Linked DNA regions of Mus musculus: regions 1, 2, 3 and 5 are each reported to be linked to region 4. The links are microRNA targets in miRTarBase. Many come from high-throughput screens and were not tested one by one. Region 4 holds a microRNA gene; each other region holds the end of a gene's coding sequence. Distances are from middle to middle.

Region 1 (4,099 bases), not on the chromosome of region 4:
AGCACATACCAGCCCATGCCACGTGACAGCCGCTGCGGGGTGCTGCAAACAAGGCCTATCACAAGGTGCACATGCCCTTGTGTATATCCACGTGTGTACATGTATGTATATGTATAGATTTTCAGGCGCACAGTGAGAAGTTATTCGCTCCTTTGTCTGGAGTTCTGTTTCCTTCAGCCCATTTGTAGCTATTAATTAATTAATTAATTAATTAATGATTGCAGTAGTACAAGTTAGGACTACTGTCCTTTATCACGGGGAGACACATTTCAAGTGCTTGACTACCTGTCACGCCAGGAAGCTGTCATTTGCTCCCTTTCTTGGCTAGTTTGTTTGTTCTTCCTCTCACCTTCACCCTCACCTTTCCACAGCTCTGTACTTATATCCTCCGGAGGACCTCTCTCACCATCTTGCCTCTCCCTGGTACCTATGGAGACTGTGCCCAGCCCTGCACAGAATTGTCAGGCCTGAAAAGAACATAGTGGACCATGACCACGGGAGCCTGGTAATAACATACCGGCTAATGGGCTGATGGTGTGTTGGGACCTCAGAGGGCTTGGTTAGGGAAGAGGGGAGGAAACCTGCCCTTGGAGGATGAGGGATTAGTCAGTAGAGAGAGGGGACATTATGCCAGGAATACGGAGGGAAATAAAATGAGAAGGAGGGTTATATGTGTAGAAATTACAGTCACACCCTTTGTCTGGTATGACAGATGGGGGCTCGTGGAGGAGACAGTAAGTTCAGACAAGCGAGCAGTGGCCAGGTACAGCTCGGATGCTGAGTTCAGAAGGATGGACCCTGTGAGGATGGGAGGAGATAGGGTCTAGCCAGGAAGAGTCCCAAGACTGGTGATGCCTGGGAAGAAAGGTTTTACCCAATCAACGTGTCAATCAGTGGGTCTATCAGTACTACAGGAGTTTGGATAATTTGTGTCTGAATAGATCTTTACATTCCCTAACTTCTTTTCCTCTCTAGATAAATTTTCCTTTCACGTTGTCCTCATGCAAAGTGCTAATAATAAATTATTAAAGGCCATCATTAATAGTCTTGGATACTCCGTGACCATATGAACGTGTCCTATGGGTGCCACAGTAGACTGGTAGCACAAGAGAGGGAAGCTACAAATGGCCTGTTCCTTCCTTTCAAATTTGAGACCTGTCTCCCCGAGTGAAAGGGGTCATCTGTGTCCTTATGTCTACTGTCTGGTTCACCCCAGACTTCTGCCTGCTGGATTCTCGGGCCTTCTACTATGTCACCGTCCCCATTCTCTGAGATGTGGGGGACAATTAGTTACCATCCCTCTAGGGCCTCAGGTTCTCAGATGGACAGAGGGAGAGAGGGAAAAGGAAGAAGAAAAAGCAAAAAGTTTTGGGGATAAAGGAAAAGGAAAGAAGGGGGCAGGAAGAAGGGGGGAACAATTCCACGGGCTCCCTGTACCGAGCCAGCATGCTATCGTCCCGGGCACCTCTGTGATGTGGGGTCCTGTCCTTTCTGGTGACACCCCGGAAGTTCCACCACAGCTCTCTAAGATCCCCCGGGGAGAGTTCCTTGAGGGCTGGGCACCTCTCTCTGGTGAGATCAAGGGTGACCCAAGAAATTCTCATCCTCCTTGTGACACCCCAGCATTAGAAGGCCCCTTCTATACTAAATTATGGTTTCTTTGGGCTAGAGGTGGGGAGAGGCCAGCTACCCCTCCATGTGTGACCAAGGAGCAACCTGGTCCTCCATGTCTCAGTCCCTGTTTCTGCTGCTTGAATCCCTTTGAGGGCTCATGAACCTCCCAGGATCCATGGGCAACACCTCCCAGGCCTCAGGTCTGCAGCATGGAGATGTGATGTATTGTTGGGATGGCGGGCCTGAGGTGTGTGTGTGTGTATGTGTGTGTGTGTGTGTGTGTGTGTGTGTGAGAGAGAGAGAGAGAGAGAGAGAGAGAGAGAGAGAGATCTGGGAATGAAGTACGTGCGAGCATGTCCGCAATGCTGTGCACCTGGGATGATTGAACTGGTGAAGCTGGGGATCTGGGGATGCACAAGGAAGACTGGAAAGAGGAAAAGGTAAAAGAGGCAAGAAAAAAGGTCTAAGGCATAAGACAGGCAAGAGAGGAAGGTGGCAATATCTGGATGAGAAGTGAGGGAGAGAGAAAGGGCAGGGGTAGAAGGCAAGTCCCCCATCCCAGAGCCCTGTCCCTGGATCCCCACCTCCCCACGTCCCAGGAAGGAAATTCAGAGGCCACTGCACATGCATTGGGTCATTTCCACATGCTTTATTCCAGCAATCAAAATAATTAAAAACATCTCAAATTATTATACACATACAAAATAGGTACAGAGTCTCTTGTTTCCTCCCAGCCCAGGGGTAAAAACTGTTTTGTGCTTTGGAAAGTGGTGCTCTGAAACCCTGATGCAGGACAGACCAAGAGAGAGGCAGAGGGGAGGGAGCAGCAGCAAGAGGGGAGGGTTTCAGAAGAAAGAGAGAGATCAGATAGGCCCAGGAACTAGAAGAGTGGAGAGAGAGTAGAGAGTGGGCAGGGTGAAGTCCCCGCACTCTCTTCTCCCTTGTTAAATAGCACCTTCAGGAAAAAAAACAAAACAAAACAAAAAAAAACAAAACCAAAAAAAAAAAAAAAAAAAACCCCAACAATTCACACAAGTCCCTATCCATTAAAAAAAAAAAAAAAAAGAATAAAAAATACTTTGAACAAAAGAAACATTTGCTGGTCTAGGGAGCATCTCAGCTTCTATAGCACCAGAAATTCCTTCCCACCCCACCCCTTCACAGAGATGTAGCACCTTTGATACCAAACTGGGCGTGCTGCCACCCTGCCCCCATCCCCGCCCCCACACAGTTGCCCCGGTGACACACAAAGACAAGAACGAGGTAGTCTTTCAGCAACACAATTGCACTGAGGAATAGAACGGTCTCTCCCACCCAGCCTGCACATGCATGTCCGATGTTTCCAGTCTGCTGTGACCCTGCCTGGCTCCAAACCCCTGAGAGGGGCAGGTGGCTGCCCAAAGCACAGGCCCTCCCTGGGGGGGGGGGGAGAGAAAAAAGTGGGGGGTTTGTTGCAGAGGCCATGGAGATGCCAGATGGTTAGGTTCCTTCAACAGTCCAAGAACCCCATGTCCCAGCAGGATTTGAGGGTGCTGGGTAGGGAAGTAGACGGGGTTGAGGGGCTGGTGGGACATTTCAGCATTGCCTTTGTTTGCTGGGCAGACAATGCATTATTTCCTGTGTCTTGGGGGAGACTTAAATTTGGGGAGCAATGGAGGAGAGGCCCCAAGAGGGGGTGGAGAAAGGAGCAGAAAAGGCAGCATTAGGGTATCATAAGCCAAGTGGGCAGGAAGGGACTTATACCCACATAGGTCTTCAAGCAAGAGGACCAAGCTTCCTTTTTTAAAAAGTTATTTATTTATTCTTTTTTTTTTTTTCTTTTTTGGTAAGGTTGAATGCACTTTTGGTTTTTGGTCACGTTCAGTTGGTCAAAGGTAAAAACTAAGTTTGAAAGGTGAATGCAAAGGAAAAAAAATGTTTTCCAAAGTCCATGTGAAATTATCTCCCATATTTTTGGCTTTTGGGGGAAATTGAGTTTGGGTTGTTCGTCTGTTTCCAGGGTTGGGGAAAAGTGGGCTGGGTGGGAGGGAACCAGATTGGGGTGGAGGGAGTTTACACGAAGCAGGCAGGGCCAATGTCTAGTCCGAATTCCTGGTCTGGGGCACCAATGTCCAAGGGAGCCACATCGATGATGGGCAGGCGGGAGGTCTTGGTGGTTTTGTATTCGATGACTGTCTTGCCCCAAGTTCCGGTGTGACTCTGGTGTGAATGAAGACAGCGGGAGAGGGTCATTACCAAGGTAGGAATGAAGTGAGGCTCACTCTGTTCTGCCAGAAGGCTAAACCAGATGCCCAAAGAGACAGGCTGGACCCAGTCTGGGGGACTCACCGTGCAGCCGTCCACAAGGGTGCTGTAGGTGAAGCGACTGTTGCCTTCGCCTCTGAGCTCGATCTCGTTGGATCCCTGGAGGAGCAGGGCCTTCTTGAGGTTGCCAGTCTGCTGGTCCATGTAGGCTACGCTGTTCTTGCAGTGATAGGTGATGTTC
Region 2 (4,120 bases), 120 Mb from region 4:
GAAATTATACACCTTAAAAGTTATGTGAGTAGATTACATATGTATAGCCCTGAATTTGATCTGTAGTACTAAAAAAAGTTACAAAAATTACATAAATATATACATATAAACAGGAGGGAAGTAAACTTTTTTTTTCAAAATGAGAAACTCAGCTGATCTGAACTCACTCAGCATTCCTAGAAAATTTTCTCATGTTTCACTGAGAATCCACTTTTCAATTGAAAGAAACTGAGTCAGCATAACTTAAACAGGCTTTCTTTTACCAACTGTAGGTACAATGACTGGTTCCTTATCTGAGGTGCAGCCATGCTCTACAATGGACAGGGAATAGGTGTTAGGTCACTTGGCTCAATTGTATTAAAAAAATATGTGGCACCTGACAGTTGTTTTGTCTGCCTAAACCTAGACTTCTTCCTTTAGAAAAGTATAATAGCTGTTTAGCTTATACAGGAATCGCAATGACTAACACATGTGAAGAATTTACCCTTGCCTGGTACCCAGTAAGAGTTCTAATGTTGGTTGTATATTGCCCTTCTTGCCCAGAAGGAGTAAGAGGGCAGTGCAGAACTGACTCTGATCCTCTCACAGCAGAAACCATTCAGAACCCAAGCCACCCTGAAGAGGACTCCTTTCAAACCTCTACGCATTAATAATTTCTTTGAGTGAACTATAAAAAGAAAGAAAAGTCTGCTTTGGATATGCTATGTCTACTTGGATAGAAACTAGGGTGTCTGTAATTCTCTAAATTGTTTTTCTTTCAACAAATCACCCCCCATGGAGACAGGAAGCACCTAAATTTAGTAATCTCAGAACAGAAGGAATACATCTGCACTACTGCCTTATGGAAATTCTTTTTTTTTTTTTTAAAGATTTATTTATTTATTATATGTAAGTACACTGTAGCTGTCTTTAGACATTCCAGAAGAGGGCGTCAGATCTCATTACAGATGGTTGTGAGCCACCATGTGGTTGCTGGGATTTGAACTCAGAACCATTGAAAGAGCAGTCAGTGCTCTTATCCGCTGAGCCATCTCGCCAGCCCATGGAAATTCTTAAAGCAGTAGTATTACAACTCTGTCCAAGAAAACTAGATTTGTCACAAAATAAACAAAATTTTGGTCAGGGATGGCAATGTACAAAGTGTTAGTGCTAACAGCAGACAGGGCAGACATGTCAGGCCCTTCATCATTGAATTCCTCCAATGTCCATTTTCTTCCTTACTTTATAAATCATCATCATCATTGCCAACAGAAGCAATTTTCCAAGATTACACATGTAGGTATGTAAGAGGTAGAATTACAAGGTAGAAGTCTGACTCCAAAGCCCATTTACTCACACATGTAGTCTGCATTCATGGAGCATCTGTACTGCATTGACACTACCCTAGTGCCCCAATTGAGGGAGGCTGCTTTGTGGAATCTAGACTACAGGTGTCCGGGTCTCCAAACACTATACTATACTATAAAATCCCTCTCAGATCAACTTGAGCATTCATACTAATATTCAGTTACTTATATAATTGAAATTATACAGAACTGGCTACTACTATAAATGCCATCAATACATTAGTAAAGAACATTTCTGAGGGGCTGGGGAGATGGTTCAGTAATTAAGAGTATATGTTATTCTTGCAGAGGACCTAGGTTCAATTCTCAGTACCCACATGGTACTTCACAACCATTCTAACTCTGCTTCCAGGAGATCCAATGCCCTCTTCAGACCTCCCCAAGTACCATGCATACATGTGGTGTACATAAATATATACAAACAGAATACACATAAAAAATAAAGTCAATAAATAAAAAAAAAAGAAAATAGTTCTGAGATAAATAAAATAGTTCTGAGATAAATATCCTCTTACTTGAAGTGGTATTGATCAGCTTTCTAAGAGACATTAATCAGAAGACACTGTCTAGTGACTATTTATCAATGTACTTTGGGGGCTGGGAATGCAGCTCAGTAGTAGACCCCTTGACCTAACATATGAGAGAGCACAGGTTCAGTCTACAACACTGGGGGCAGTGTTCTACTTACTTAGGCAATAGACCACATAACATACTAGCTTTGGATATATTGTTTCTGTATTGGTGATTATCCAGCAAAGGCAAGAATACATATAGTCTGCAAATAACAGCTACTCATCTTAGACACACACATGGAATCATGTTTGAGCTGATCCTTGCTTGATACAAACCCTCCTCTGGTAGGAGAACAAAAGATACATTTATGTATATTAGTAAGTAGACTCTAAAGATCATATCCAGATTCCAGAGGCTTGGTACCAACAGAAACCAAGTAAATGAGGATGAAAGACACTGTGGAGATGAGAAAGTTCTGATGGGATGATTCTAGGCCGTGGGTAGTCACTTAGGATGGAGGGAACTAGAAACTGTTTTGGACAGCTTAAAAATCAAATATGAACTGTCAGCAAACTCTCCTCTCAGTGCCTAGGAACTCAAGGAAGTTTTTTTTCCTGTTTGTTTTGTTTTGTTTTGTTTTGTTTTGTTTTGTTTTGTTGAGTCAGGGTTTCTCTGTATAGCTCTGGCTGTCCTGGAACTCACTCTGTAGACCAGGCTGGCTTTGAACTCAGAAATCTGCTTGCCTCTGCCTCCCAAGTGCTGGGATTAATGGCATGCACCACCACTGCCTGGCTCAAGGAAGTTTTAAACATGCCTTTAAAACACTTCATTTCAGATAAAGGGAAAATAATCACTGCAAATATTCTTTTGGGAATTCAGATTTGAGTTTTTCTCTCCATTTTCCTCCTTTCCTCTTTTTCTTTTATAGATTTTGAAGACAGCTATTCTGTATCAAAAGCTGGCCTTGAACTCACTATATACCTCATTCTGATTCAAACTCCACCTCTTACCACAGCCTCCAAACTGCTCAGATTACAGGTATGTACTACCACAAATGGCTTTTCAATTCAGTTTTAACAATGGGACTGAGTAAACAGAAAATGGAAACCATTAAAACTGTCCTAGAATGGACATCAGATAAGTTTTATATATAATTTCATATATTTTCCCTGTTTGTTTACCTGAGAATTGTATTTGAAGGACAAAAAAGTAAAAGAAAAGTAGGTCAAATAACTTAACAATTACATGTTTAAGATTGGAGGCAATGAAACACTGGAATAATTCAAGTATTTTCTCACAAAGGGGAAATGAAGCAGCCTCTATTCTATCAACTAGTGGTTGATGACATAGCACTAACTCCTGTGCATGCTCATTGGAAATATGAACAAGGGTGAAGTCATGTAGCCAATTCATGAAAAACATGCAATAACATAAAGATGCATAGGTAGTTATGGTCTTGGGAAGGGGAGCTGACATGCAGCTGGTGGGAGAAGGAAGGACCTGTGAATTTACCTGACCGTTGGGTAGTCTTGCCTCCCAGCTAGTTGTGAGCACTGTGGCGGTACGGAGGCAGCAGGCTGCTGACAATCTACAAGAAACTAATAAATTAGACATGTATACAAAGAGATGACACAATGGTGTTAGCAACAGTAACTAAATCAGCTGCCTGAGATTTAGTGAGGAACGGGAACGTTTACTTAGAAACATCTAGATTAAGTGTGGTTTTTTTTTTTTCTTTTGTGGGTGTGTTTTTTTCCTTGACTAATGCCAATAGAAAAGACTGAATTTTTAATTAATGTCTTAGAAAAAAACTAATGACATAAAATTAGTAGCAAGATTTTAATAGTACATTATGTCCTATGGCCATTCATATTTGGTGTTTTGATTACTCTAAAATCAGAATCTATTAATATTAAAAATTCTAACTCCTGAACTTGAACATAATGCTGATTATTTAATTAGCAAACAGATATGCTGTTCTAAAATGAAATATATTCAGGAAATAGATTTTATTGTCAGGGCATATAGTAATATTGTTAAACACAGATATTTTGAGAAAGCCAAACAATATTTTATTAACAAGAAATTAAACAAGAAAATTATATTTACAGTTTTCTGGAAATTGATTGTATGTGTTGAAAAGAATTGCTAGCAGAAATCTTAGATGATTCATTATATAATAAAATTTTAATAAACAGGACTGATGAAGGAAACCAGCCTTATTAATGGTGCTCACTTTGTTTTGTTTTTATTACTTTAAA
Region 3 (4,120 bases), not on the chromosome of region 4:
CTACGGAAGGATAAGAAGGAAGGATAAGAAGGAAGGCTACCCCTTGGGGTGGAAGCCAAGGTCTCCTGGACCCAGATACAAGTCCACTTCAGAGCTTAGCCAGGTTAAGATAGCTCCACAAGGTAACTCCCAGCCATGAGGTTTTGGGTCGGCTGCTTGTGAAGCCTCGGCTCCTCTATCTGTCAGTGGGGGCTATGGCTACAGTTCTTCCCTGGAGAGCCTGTTTGGAGACATGAACTGTGGAGATGCTGCATGGGCAGAATTCACCCAAGAACTGTCCTGTAGTAAGTGTCCGAGAAACACCTCCTTCTGTGGCTGCAGGGTGGGGCAGTGCTGGCTCTGCAGCCTTTCGGCTTGTTTGCCTTTTTATGGAGATTTTTCCCTCAGCTACCAAAAGCTTTGGCTTCTCTTGGAGCCTCTGGTGGGTCCTGGGGATGGAACCCAGTGGCCTGTTCTTGCCTTCCAACCTGTCTATGGTTTCTAGGGACTGAACTCAGATTGTCAAGGTTTGCAGCAAACACCTGAACCCCCTGAGCCATCTTGCCAGCCTGCCTCCCTGCCTTAGATGCACGTACGTATATGGGTGCTGATTCTCTCCTGATTCGCCTCCCTTTTCTCTGCAGGCCTAGCTCCCTCGCTGCTCTCTCTCTGCCAGCATGAGGAAACTGTCCAGCCCAGGAACCGCTTCCCGCCAGCAGCAGGCTTGGGCCAGACCCACTGAGTCAGCCTTCCTCTCAGCCCTCTTCTTCTATCCCAGAAAGGACTCAGCCACACTCCACACCAGCAGCCTACACCCAGGATGGGGCCTCTCTCCTCTGAGTGTGCCCCCCCCAGCCAGCCACAGTCCTACCTCAGCCCCCCAACCTTCTGCTGCCCCCAGTCGGAGGCTTCTTGGGTATTCTCAGCTCAGTGACCTTTGGGAGGGGTGTGTGACCCTCCCCACCTCCTCTCAGGACTTCCTTTGGGGTTCTCCACAGTTCTCCATACCTCAATACCCCTTTTTCTGACTCTCTTTGCTTTATTTGGGAGAATGAGGGGTTGGGAGAATCGGAGATCCATCTCTGATCCTGGCCCCATGGAGCTTAGACAACTGTAATCACATTTTTTGGTTGTTGTTTTGGTTTTTTTGTTTGTTTTTTGTTTTCTCCCTGTTCCTCTTCTATCGGCTTGACTTTGTCCTTTTCACAATAGGGCATTCAGTCACTCTGCATTGCACAGATCCACAGCAATTGTGAGACTCTGGTCTTCCCCCTCTTCCGTGGCAAATGTGGGAAGACTCTGGGTCAGATTTCACCTCAAACAACTTATGGAGTCTCAGCCTTCCAACTGCCCCCCAGCTCTGCTTGCCATGTCTGCTCCTGACTTCATGCTGGCCCCAGACGCTGCCTAAATAATGACTTCATTTGTGATCTTCCTGTGTTAGGGGGAGCCAGCGACTTCCTCCACTCCACAGACCTATAATCTCTGGATCTTGAATACTTGACTCCCACCTTTACTGTTTGTAGACTGTGCAACTTCTAGCCTTCCCTGGACCTAGGCTATACCACTTTCTCTCTTCCTTGCACCTAGACATGTAGCTCCTGGTCTTTGTTGGCTCTAGACTGAAAACCCTTGGGCCTTCTCTGGTTCTAGAGATCTCTGGGTTCTCTGATTCTAGACTTTCTACTTCTTGGTTCTAAAACATACAATCCATGGCTTTTCCCTGGCTCTCTGACTCCATATTTCTCATCTTTTTTCTGTTTCTAGAATGTGAAACCTGTGAGCTTCATTGGCTGTAGACTGTACCACCAGTGGTCTCCTCTAGTTTGTGACTCATGACCTCTGGCCTTCCCTTGTTCTAGACACTGTGGCCTCTGGCCTCCATGGTTCTAAACTGTGTTGTTCCTGCCTTCTTTTGTTCTAGACTGTTCAATCTCTGACATTCTCTAGTTCTAGTCTGTACAGTCTCCAGTCTTTTACCTGACTCTAGACTGCAGGCCTTTGGACCTGGCTCTGGTTCTAGACCATGCCACTTCTCTGGCCTTTTCTCTGATTCTAGACTTTAGGCCCTCTGGTTTTCTGTGGTTCTAGAACAGGGGTTCTCAACCTTCCTAATGCTGCAACCCTCTAATACAGTTTCTCATGTTGTAGTGACCACTGACTATAAATTTATTTCATTGCTGCTTCATAACTGTAATTTTGCATCTGTTATGAATCATAATGTAAATATCTGGTATGCAGGATATCTGATATCTGATCCTCAAAGTGGTCACAGCCCACAGATTGAGAGCTGCTGTTCTAGACTCTACAGCCTATGAGCTTCTTTGATTCTAGGTTATGCTGCCTCTGGTCTTCACTGGTTCTAAACTAGATGACCACTAGCCTTCTCTGGCATTCCCTGGTTCTAGACTGTGCTGTCATTGACTTCCCCCTGGTTCTACACTGTGTTATCATTGGCTTCCCCCCTGGTTCTAGACAGCATCATTTCCAACATGGTCTGTTAAAGACCTCAATTTCTTCAAACCCCTCTACTTCCACATCTCATACTCTTTAGTTCTTTCTTGGGCTGGATCTCACAGCTCCCAATCTGCCATTTTAAAGTGGGGTTTGAATTACATAATCTGTAAAGCTCTCTGGATCTAAAGCCTACAACCACCAAGAATCCTCTAGCTTCAAGGCTTATTCTGTAATTTCCTCTGGTTCTAGGCCTCTTCTTAAAAATCCTCTGGTTCTCATGCCCTCTGCTGCCTGTCATTGCAGACCATTGGTGTGTGTAGTAGCAAGGATTAAACCTCAGGCCTTGCACGTGCTAGGCAAGCACTCTACCACGGAGCTTTCCCCAGTCCTGTCTTATGTCTTATTTTGAGACAGGATCTTTATTGGTTGCACAGACTAACCTTGAACTCAAGTCTGTTCAGATAGACCCTGAACTCATCCTGCTTCAGCCTCCCGAGTAGCTGGGAATTACAGGCCTTTGAGACTGGGGCCAGCTAATCTTATAATTGGCGATCTCCTCTTGTTTCTGGATTCCCCAACTCCAAGCTTCTTATTAGCTCCGGTCTTTCTAATCTGTAAGACAGTTGGTTTCAAATCCAGACCTGATTTCTAGATCATTTTGGTTCCAAACCTCATGATGTCGAGTTTATTGTTCTTCAGACCCCTGTGCTTTCCCCCAGTAAGGAGGAGTGGAGTGAGTTTTATGTCTTGAACTTGGATCTGGCCTTTCTGGAACCACATACCACGTGCCCATTCTTTTGGGTTCTGGATTTCATTACCTTTAATCATTACCCATGTTTTAGATTATGTAAACTCTAGACCCCGAAACTTCCAGGATCCTCTGTTCTCAGATGCTCTGGTGATCTGCCTATTACTGAGCTTCAAATATCAAGGTGGGCAGTGGTGGTGCACGTCTCTGATCCTAGCACTTAGGAAGCAGAAGGAGGCAAATCTCTAAGTTTGAGGCCAGCTGATCTATCGAGCAAGTTCCAGGATGCCAGGGCTACATGGAGAAACCCTGTCTCAAAATCAACAAAACAGAACAAAACAAACAGCAAATATCTTCTGGGGTTTGTTACTGTTTTGAGACAGTGTCTTAAATTCATTGACCATAAAATTGCTATGTAGCCAAATGATTTTAAATCCGTGATACCCCTTCACCCACCCCACCAAGTGCTGGGGTTACAGACATGCCTAGTTGTATGTGGTGTTGGAGACTGAAGCCAGAGCTTCATGCATGCTAGGCAAGTACTCTACCAACTGAGCTACACCCAGCCTCTATAAATGTCTTCTGCATCTAGACCTATCCCATGAGTTTCTTTGGTTCTAGACCCCACAATTGCCCAGTCCTCTTTACTTCAGATCTTAACAACTCAAAGTACCCTGAATCTAGAACAGAGTTTGAAAATATCAGCGGATATCTTGCCTTCTATATTTCTCTAGTTCTAAGCCTTAGAACCCCAATCTTGATTCTAGATTTAAGATCCTAAAATCCCTGTGGATTCTAGACCTTGGTTTGGGGGCTTTTCTTTCCCCAGGAATGGGCTGGATGACATGCAGCTCTGACTGGCCTCCAGCTCACTATAGAGCCAGAGATGACCTTGAACTTGTGACCCTCTTCCCTCTGCCTCTCAAATGCTGCGAT
Region 4 (4,120 bases):
AAGGATGTGTGTGCTTCTTTAACACACACACACACAGAACGAACACATATACAGACTCTCAGACAGGAGCTGGCTGACAGACTCTCAGACAGGAGCTGGCTGACAGACTCTCAGACAGGAGCTGGCTGAGAGGATTAAAGAGATGAGGACCTGGAATGTATTTAGCCCAGGAAGGAAGCAAGGGAACCAGAGAGCTGAGAAAGGCACTCACCCAGACCAGTGTGGGAGGAAGCTGGGCTCCGAGAAACCAAAGCCTGTCCCAGCACGCTGGGAGGGAAGCTGAAAGCTCCACAGTCGCTATGAGGAGTGCATGGGAAAGTTCAGGGAAACAACGTTTAAAATGATAGTTACTCATCTCAGAATTTAATAAGGTTTCTGAAGGAATGTGAATCTGTATGGGTGGGCTACAAAAAAATCCCTCTCTATATTACCAATATTCCCCATTACCAACACTAGTTCTTCTATGTGCATGTGTGTACTCATGTGCACCTCAGGTTCTTCATGACAGCTGTCTACCTGGCCTTTTGCGGCCGGGTTGTTCACTAGTCCTTGACTTCACCTGGGCTGTAATTGGATTGTGAGGGTCAATGGAACGGCTGCTTTAAGGGGGAATGAGGGTTGTTAAAGTTAAATCCTCACATGGGGGAGGGAGCAGGGAAGAAAGTCAGAATGAAAGAAGAGCAGCGCAACGCTTTAAATGTAGGCAGTCAGAAGACACAGATAAAAGTTGAGGATACAGCTAATGGGAAAATATAGGTGCGGCAGTGGACAGCTACTTATTGCTATAGGGCTCAGTGCTAATCCAGTGCAGTCTGTGGATATATAACACATGAATCATATTAGAAGATTAAACTTAAAAACAAAACAGAACAGGACAATTTAAATGCCAAACTGGTAAGTATATAAGCAAGATGTGGCATGCCCACACAGTGAAATATTATTTAGTCATGAAAAGGGAACCGAGTTTGGATGAACGCACCGTGAGAGAACCATGAAAACGTCCCATTAAGTGAACTAAGCTGGATGGAGAATTTCACAGAGGGTGTGATTCTGTGAAATGTTCAGAACATGTAAATCTACAGAGAACAGATTTCACTCAGAGACAGGAAGTACATAATGAGTAAGGAATGCCTGGATTCAGGTTTTCTTTCGAGGTGAGGAGAACTAGACCTTGCTGATCTGTACAACTCCATGAAAGCTTTGCTCAAGAGCCTTTGTGTTATATACTCTAAAATGGTTCAAACGCTCCACTTCGGGTTTTCTGTAGCTGTGTCACTTTGTTCCTATTCTGTATCTGTGGTATACTCCCTCTTCATTTCAGTTCAACCCAAGCTGTTCAGTCTCAGCAGCAAACGCATTCTTCTGCTTTACGAGGCCGTGATGCTGACTTGGACAATGCGTAATGCGGGAGTAACTGAGGCTACACGCGATCCCATTCGGCTCAACAGGAACGAGCTATGAACGAAGGTCGGGATGCAGCAGGGTTAGGAATTACTTACACACGCAGCGCTTCAGCAATACTAACAGCCCGCTTGCCTTTTCATTCTGAAACACAAGCACAGAAAACTTGGATTTGGGGTTCTGGGCAGCGAGGTCTACTGCAGGAGTTCCGTTTTGTTTACCAAGGAAAAACTGTACAATCTATCTCGCCTAACCTTTTAGATCTAGCCAAAGCTTAGTCATTTGTATGATTCATCTGATTTTCCTTATTTATAAGTCTAGTTAAAGTTCAACCAGGAGGAAATGTAGCCTTAAGCACCACTTGGAAAGGCTACAAATACCACAGGCTAGGTGTGTCCAACCTGTGGCCCATGCCACCCCACCCCACCCCCTTCCCCTCAGGATAGCTATGAATGCTGTCCAACACATCACAAGTGTACTTAAAACCCACGAAATTATCTTTTGCAATCCCATTGTATTCTCTAATGTTAACTTTGTTGATGACAACATCGCATTGCAATGTAAATGGTTGGACACATCTACCAGACATGAGTTTGTCACACTTATTTTTATGCCTATTACTTGAGTCCCAGACACAGGTCCAGTTATCTGAACCATCTGTTACATCTAACTTATAGCTCTCCTGGTCTGGACAGCTAACCATGCAATGGCCAGTGGTCAGGCAGGCTAGGTGACTATCCCTATGTGAGCTGTTAGAACCTTATAGAAGTAAATATCCCCTGCTCCTCTCACATTGACTGGTCAGTCATTGGTTTGGCCCTTTATCCTCTAGTTACCGTCAAATCTGCAACCCATACACACTTTCTAAAACACACCCACCATCACTATGTGAATAGTTAACCATGCTGTTGCTGGGGCACGTGTTAATGAAAGTCAAGTTTAAGATAGGAAGAAAATGTACCTTAGCATGTTTTGGTATTTGTTTCTTAATTCTTACCTGTGGCTCCAACGTCAGCAATAACGTAGTCAGCTGAACGGTGCTCTTCCCCAATCATTATAACCGATTTCAGATGGTGCTAGAAAATTCTATTGACTCTGAACACCAAAAGAAATCAGTCATCCTCTAAGGGGTCACAAGAGGTCATGTGCACTGGGAAGGCCCAGGCCTTCAATCTGTCGTATATGTAGGTCTTCATCCGAGCATGGTGGAGTCCACTTCCAGAGAAGGCTTATTACATGAACAAGTATGCAATTCTAACGGTGGTTGACTAATCAGCTATCCATAACACAGAGGTAAGCAGGGTGGGCGAGGGCAGGCTCTGGTAGCCTGTTTTAGACACTGGACACTTACTTCAGGGCTGTACACTCATTTCTTTGTGCGGTCGGCAGCGAAGTAGTTCTCCACCAAGAACACTGATTTCAAATGGTGCTAGACAATCACTATTTAAATCTAAACCACCATATGAAACCAGCTTCCTGAAGAAGCTTTGTCGTCTGTTTTTGTGGCCTTCCTACGGAGAGGGAAGGTGAAGTCCGTGCAATAGTTCCTAATTTCAGGCGATCCTATGCTGACCTCATCTAGCAGGTGGGGGTGGGGGTGTGACATGTCGGTCACTCATGGCATTCTTCCCTCCAAATGGTAACTGAGCCCTCACCCGAGAGCAGACGTGGGACAGTGAGCACGAGGCTTACACATTCACGGTGCAGCGTGGCAGAGCTCAGCACACTTTTGATAAGCGTGACACTTTTTACTTCCAGATCGATCTGTTAGAGTCGACAAGTGAGCACAATTTGGGATCCTCTCAAAGGCAAAGCAACACACTGATGCTAATGAGACCCTGCCCCCTTTTGCCAGACTGCAGTAGTGAGTTCAGGTCTTTTGCTAACTCAATTCTCCTCCAGAAGTGAAGCTTTGAATCTTCGGTATCTGACAGATTATCACTATCATCAGTACTGCTGCTACTGCTACTACTATTACAGTTTTAAACAGGGTCTCACTATGTAGCCCTGGCTGTCCTCGTAACTCAGAGAGGCCCTGCTTCTGCTTCCTGAGTGCTGAGACTTTCTGGCTTCTTTCTTGTCTCCCTTCCATTAGCTCTTGACATGTGGTCTTGCTAGGCCAGGCCGTTTGCCGTCACTCTTTTGAATGTGTCAGGGACTCCAATAACTACACATCCACGGCCTTAAAAAAAAAAAAAACTATTTAGAAACATTTCAGATATTAGAATGTTAATGTCCTTTTTAAGAATACCTTTTTAAAAAGTTGTATGTTAAATTTCTTTTTAAAATATTTTTTTCAAATGTACTGACATTAAAATGATTATTAACATTTTCTCCCCCTTTATCCCTTCCTGCTCATTCTCAAATCCATGGCCTCTTTTTAATTGCTGTTACACACACACATTCTCCTAAGTACGTGACTACAGCCGGCTTAGTCCATGTAATTTCAGGGCTCACTACATGGCATTAACTTTCAATGATAATCAAACAAATTCCTGTATTTGTGCCTTCTGAATTAACAACTGAGCGTTTTTTGCTTTAGATATATAATCTACATTATTACCTATCCCTGGCATATGTGGTTCTTACTGAATTGTTTGAAAGCAAAGAGAAGATCAGCCAGGTGCTCTGCTCTCAGCTGCTGGGGCACAGCACTGTTTAAGAAATACTGAGATAAAAAATTAAAAAAAAAAAAGGAGAACATTTTTCTTTATAATTA
Region 5 (4,120 bases), 27 Mb from region 4:
CTTGTCAATGATATTAGGGAGAATAGCATTTTTAAAAAGTTTTTTTGGCATGAAAGATGCCGAATGCACCTTGTGTTGCTTGGGTGTCTACTCTTGGCCAGTATGCTAACTATGCTGATTTAGAATTTTAAATGACTTGGTTACTGTCCCCTCCCAGGATCCTCCTCTCCTGTGCCACTTTCTTCTCTCTCACATTCAGGGTGGAGGTGGCTAAAACTTCACTTGGCAAAGGGTCAGAGAAAGTCCTGCGAAGAATCAGTTAGAGCTGCGATTAGCTTGGAACAGATGACAGACCATGGGAGGGTCAAATCTTCTGGACATAACTCTGTAGCCATTTTCTTAGCCCAGACTCTAGGAATATTCACGATGGACCAACTGGTAAGTACTGGATTGTTCTAATAAGTGGTTTCTAAACAGAAGCATTTATCCAGAGAGGGCCTGTAGGAGGAGTGAAATCTGTAGAAGAGGCCAGTTGGCCAAATGTCACTGTTTTGTGTGAGACTGAGATTTGTATGAGGCCCTCTAACTGATACTGTCCTGTTATCCTGACATGGAACTTTGTCTAAAATACTACTCATACATAGGTTTATTCTGTCTTAGCAAGTGAGCTGGATAAACCTTAAGGACCCTGCTCTCAGAGGAGGTGTAGCCAGCTTTGGGCATCCTTCCTAGTGTTGCTCAGGTGAACTGGCACATGCTAGAGACCAGGTAAGCTCTCCTCGTTGTCTCAGGAAGAAGCTGAGTGGGATGGTAGATATCTCATTCTTAGAGATGACTACTCTTCCATCAAGATTGCTAGTAATTTCTTTTGAGACAATTTGTTGTAAATTGTACAGATCATGAAATTATATTATAGTAAATTTGGAAAATGTAGGACTAAAAAACCCATCTTGACATAATTGTCCTGCAAGCACCAACTCTTGGTATTTTTATAAGCATGTTTAAATAGATCTGTAAAGACAGGCTTTTGAAAGCAGGTTTTCTTTTGTTTAACCATCCTCATAATTGTTATTTGGGAATCAAAACTTTAATTTTTTTATTAGTATTTTGAACATAACACTGTTTTCTATTAAATGTTATTTATTTCCTCCTTTTATGTAGTGATGATGCAGTGGAGATAGAGTGATTATTGAGACTGTTAGCTTGGAAATCTGTTGGCAGAAGAGACTCAGATGTAACTATTCTAATGTGTATTTGAGCCACAGTTTGTCCTCACAAAATGCTGGTTCTCTTCCTCATATCACAAGCCAGAAGCCATACTTATATTCAGCCCAGAGACTTCTAACAATTTTATCACTTTATAACTTTGCCATTGCTATTCCAATGATTAATTTGAGGGCGTTACAGCGTTTTGATGACAGAGTTTGAGTTTTCTTTATATTGTGTGATTGGCTACATCGACTCAAGCTTGTCAGACATGGAATGTTAGAGACATCAAGGGCATGCAGAGACTTGAGTTACCTCCTTGGTACAGGAATCAGAATTGCACAGGCAGTACAATCACCGACTCCACAGGGGATCTGGACGAGGGGCAATGGCTGTGTACTTGTGCTCCCATCTGAGTATCCCAGTGCTCAGATTCTAGTGGGAGGAAGACCTGACCTGATAGTACTGTTTGGTTAGTAGACCTTGCTAACTTTTTAGAGTTAGTGTTAAATTTTTCCTCATGTTCGGTCTTTTGCTTTTAAACTAATTGAATCTTGAGATGACTTATAACAGGAGGCAAATATTACAATAACAATTACGTTCTGCAACAGGGGATAAGTTCTAAATGAATCTTAACATTTTACTTGACACATTACTATGTTTAAGTGTGTTAAAGATGTCATTGAAAGGTGCAGGGGAGGAAAATGAACTTGATTTGGCAGGTAGGTGTTCTTGGTACTATTATCCACAACTGTCTGTGCTGATTGACAGCACACACATTACCTCTTAACAGGCATTGTACTCAGTTGCAGCATATTTAACTGTGTGGCATTTTTACTGACTATTTGAAACTGTTTTAGTTAATAATATTAATTGTGCATAGACCAACTTTCAGCCATAGTTACAAAGTGCTTGATGGATAATGAGGCAAAAGTTTCTGTGGACCTTTGCTTAGAGAAAACAGAGATCAAGAGTATCATGTTGCTTAGGTACTATGCATTCTGAGGAGTCACAGATGCGTCACAGTGAAGAATAGAATTCCTCTCCATGTTACCAGGTTGGAAGCAGAAACCCAGGCACAGAGGCTGAAGGTCACTTAGCTCCAAGGAACATGGCAGAAACTGGAGCTGAGTTTCTTCCTGAGTCCTTCCTTGTTCTGAGATCTTTCTACATTATTATTATTATTATTATTATTATTATTATTATTATTAATTATTATTACTGTATAATTTCTTTCCACTGAGGTTTACTTGTTCTAATGGCTGGTAGAGATGCAGATTCATATGGCAATGAGCATCAAAGCAAGGAATTTTACTCAATATTTTCTTTTGGAAAACCAAAAATGCTTTATTTTATTTTTCACAATTTATTTAAACATCTCACATATACAAAATAGGTACAATTCAATTTTTCTGCTTGTCCAAGAAACAAGACTTCTTTGGAACCATGGGCAAGAAGGAAAATGAGGCTGTTAAAGAATGAATGCTGAATCTAATGAAGAGAGAACCTGGGGCAAGTGGCCTGCATTCCTGTAGTTGGGGATAAGATGAGAAAGAGGACTGCTAAGTCAAATTTAAAAATCACACACAATGCACATCAATGTGGAGGATTGTTTCTTCTGTAATTCTTCCAGCACCGTTCATATTCTTCAAGTATCTGAAATACTACTAATTAGCACCTTTGTGTTGCAAGCAAAACAAAACAAGTACCTCAGTTCGTGTCAGCCTTGGTCAACTCTCATTGGGATGGTCTACACTCACTGCAAAGTGTCTTGAGGTAGTTCAAACCTTTGGAAGTTTGGGTTTTAAACTTCCCTCTGTGGAAGATAGTCAGAAGCCACAAGTGGTGCGAATGTTCATGGGTTTCTTTTTATTTTATTTTTCAATTTTTATTTGGGTTTTCTTACAAAGGTTGACAATGTCCACAACAGGTGTCAGGGTGTTAAAAAAAAACCCACAAAAATAACACTGCAAACATTTTGGGGAGGGGCCAAGGGAGGAGACTTAGTTGGATCATATTGCACACTGCTCTGACCAATCCTTCTCTTTTGCCCACAGTTTAAGATGTAGATGCATAGAAGACATGGAAGGATTCAGCTTTCAGTTTTTGTTTTTTGTTTTTTTTTTTAAAGGAGGAAACGGCAAAGAGAAAGTTTTTTCAGGGGTTTTTGGTTTTTAATTTAGGTTGAGTTCACTTATTTGAAACAGACGGGGCCAACCTCCACACGGAATTCTTGGTCAGCACCACCAATGTCCAGAGGTGCAATGTCAAGGAACGGCAGGCGAGATGGCTTATTTGTTTTGTATTCAATGATTGTCTTGCCCCATTCATTTGTCTTTTTCTGTATAATAGAAAAAAATGGGAAAAAAGGAAAATACATCAGACCAGTATAGCTGCACCTGACTTATATCTAAGCATCGGGGTCTAGGAAAGCCATTTCTCGGCAGCCAACACTTTCTGAAGATAGGGGTTCCTGATTAAGACGTTCACTGTAGACAGACAGTGTCAAGGATGTCTTTCAGGGAATGATAACTTCTTTAGGATAAGTTTCAAATATGTTTGGATACATATTCTTTTCAAGGTGAGTGTATGGTGTGTGTATGTGTGTATGGTGTGTTTGCATATCTTGTATGTGTGTGGTGTGTGTTTCTGTATGTTGTGTGTATGCATCTTGTGTGTATGTCTGTGTATGTATAGAGAATTGGGTAGGTATACAGTAATTTTACACTTAAAACTTTATTCTAACTTAGAGCATATTATATAAAACATATACTCTTTTATATAGGTAAAAGTCTACAGAAAAATTGAATGTAGCCATATTCTAAGGTGCAACTGAAGCATTTTAAACCTCAATAAGTTTTAAATTCTTGGTATATGTTAATACATAGGAACTCTAAATGCTGAGAGGAAAGCAGGGACTGTGTGGGCATAGGAGTCAGCTCAGTGTGTGAGAGTTGCAAAGAAGGTGGTATCT

The links. Region 4 holds the annotated microRNA mmu-miR-29a-3p (UAGCACCAUCUGAAAUCGGUUA, at 2,459-2,480, opposite strand). A microRNA usually pairs through its seed, bases 2 to 8, with sites in the 3' UTR of a target mRNA and lowers its output. Matches are read on the target gene's strand: a 7mer-m8 pairs with bases 2 to 8, a 7mer-A1 pairs with bases 2 to 7 and ends in A, and an 8mer does both.
Region 1: the mRNA of Col1a1 is a reported target of mmu-miR-29a-3p. Seed matches in the 3' UTR shown: 7mer-A1 at 2,784-2,790, 8mer at 2,741-2,748 and 7mer-A1 at 2,564-2,570.
Region 2: miRTarBase lists Bicd1 as a target of mmu-miR-29a-3p. The part of its 3' UTR that is shown has no 7-base or 8-base seed match.
Region 3: the mRNA of Hif3a is a reported target of mmu-miR-29a-3p. The part of its 3' UTR that is shown has no 7-base or 8-base seed match.
Region 5: miRTarBase lists Col1a2 as a target of mmu-miR-29a-3p. Seed matches in the 3' UTR shown: 7mer-A1 at 2,819-2,825.

The regions. Positions count from the first base shown.
Region 1 is chr11:94,951,187-94,955,285 of GRCm38, reverse strand. Col1a1 (collagen, type I, alpha 1) reads right to left here. Exons shown (of 51, transcript NM_007742.4): 50 at 3,943-4,099; 51 at 2,244-3,813. The coding sequence ends at 3,667. Among named protein-coding and RNA genes, the nearest start is that of Hils1, 14 kb to the left of the region's middle.
Region 2 is chr6:149,549,677-149,553,796 of GRCm38, reverse strand. It overlaps Bicd1 (BICD cargo adaptor 1), which reads right to left. Exons shown (of 9, transcript NM_009753.4): 8 at 3,372-3,447. The coding sequence ends at 3,400. It overlaps Gm38931 (a long non-coding RNA gene), which reads left to right. Exons shown (of 3, transcript XR_869630.3): 2 at 2,788-2,897. Among named protein-coding and RNA genes, the nearest start is that of Gm38931, 2.7 kb to the left of the region's middle.
Region 3 is chr7:17,032,469-17,036,588 of GRCm38, reverse strand. Hif3a (hypoxia inducible factor 3, alpha subunit) reads left to right here. Exons shown (of 15, transcript NM_001162950.1): 15 at 624-4,120. The coding sequence ends at 721. Among named protein-coding and RNA genes, the nearest start is that of Ppp5c, 6.6 kb to the right of the region's middle.
Region 4 is chr6:31,060,215-31,064,334 of GRCm38, forward strand. It overlaps Mir29a (microRNA 29a), which reads right to left and starts at 2,533; the gene lies at 2,446-2,533. Mir29b-1 (microRNA 29b-1) reads right to left here and starts at 2,879; the gene lies at 2,809-2,879.
Region 5 is chr6:4,539,883-4,544,002 of GRCm38, reverse strand. It overlaps Col1a2 (collagen, type I, alpha 2), which reads right to left. Exons shown (of 52, transcript NM_007743.3): 52 at 2,460-3,487. The coding sequence ends at 3,341. Among named protein-coding and RNA genes, the nearest start is that of Col1a2, 36 kb to the right of the region's middle.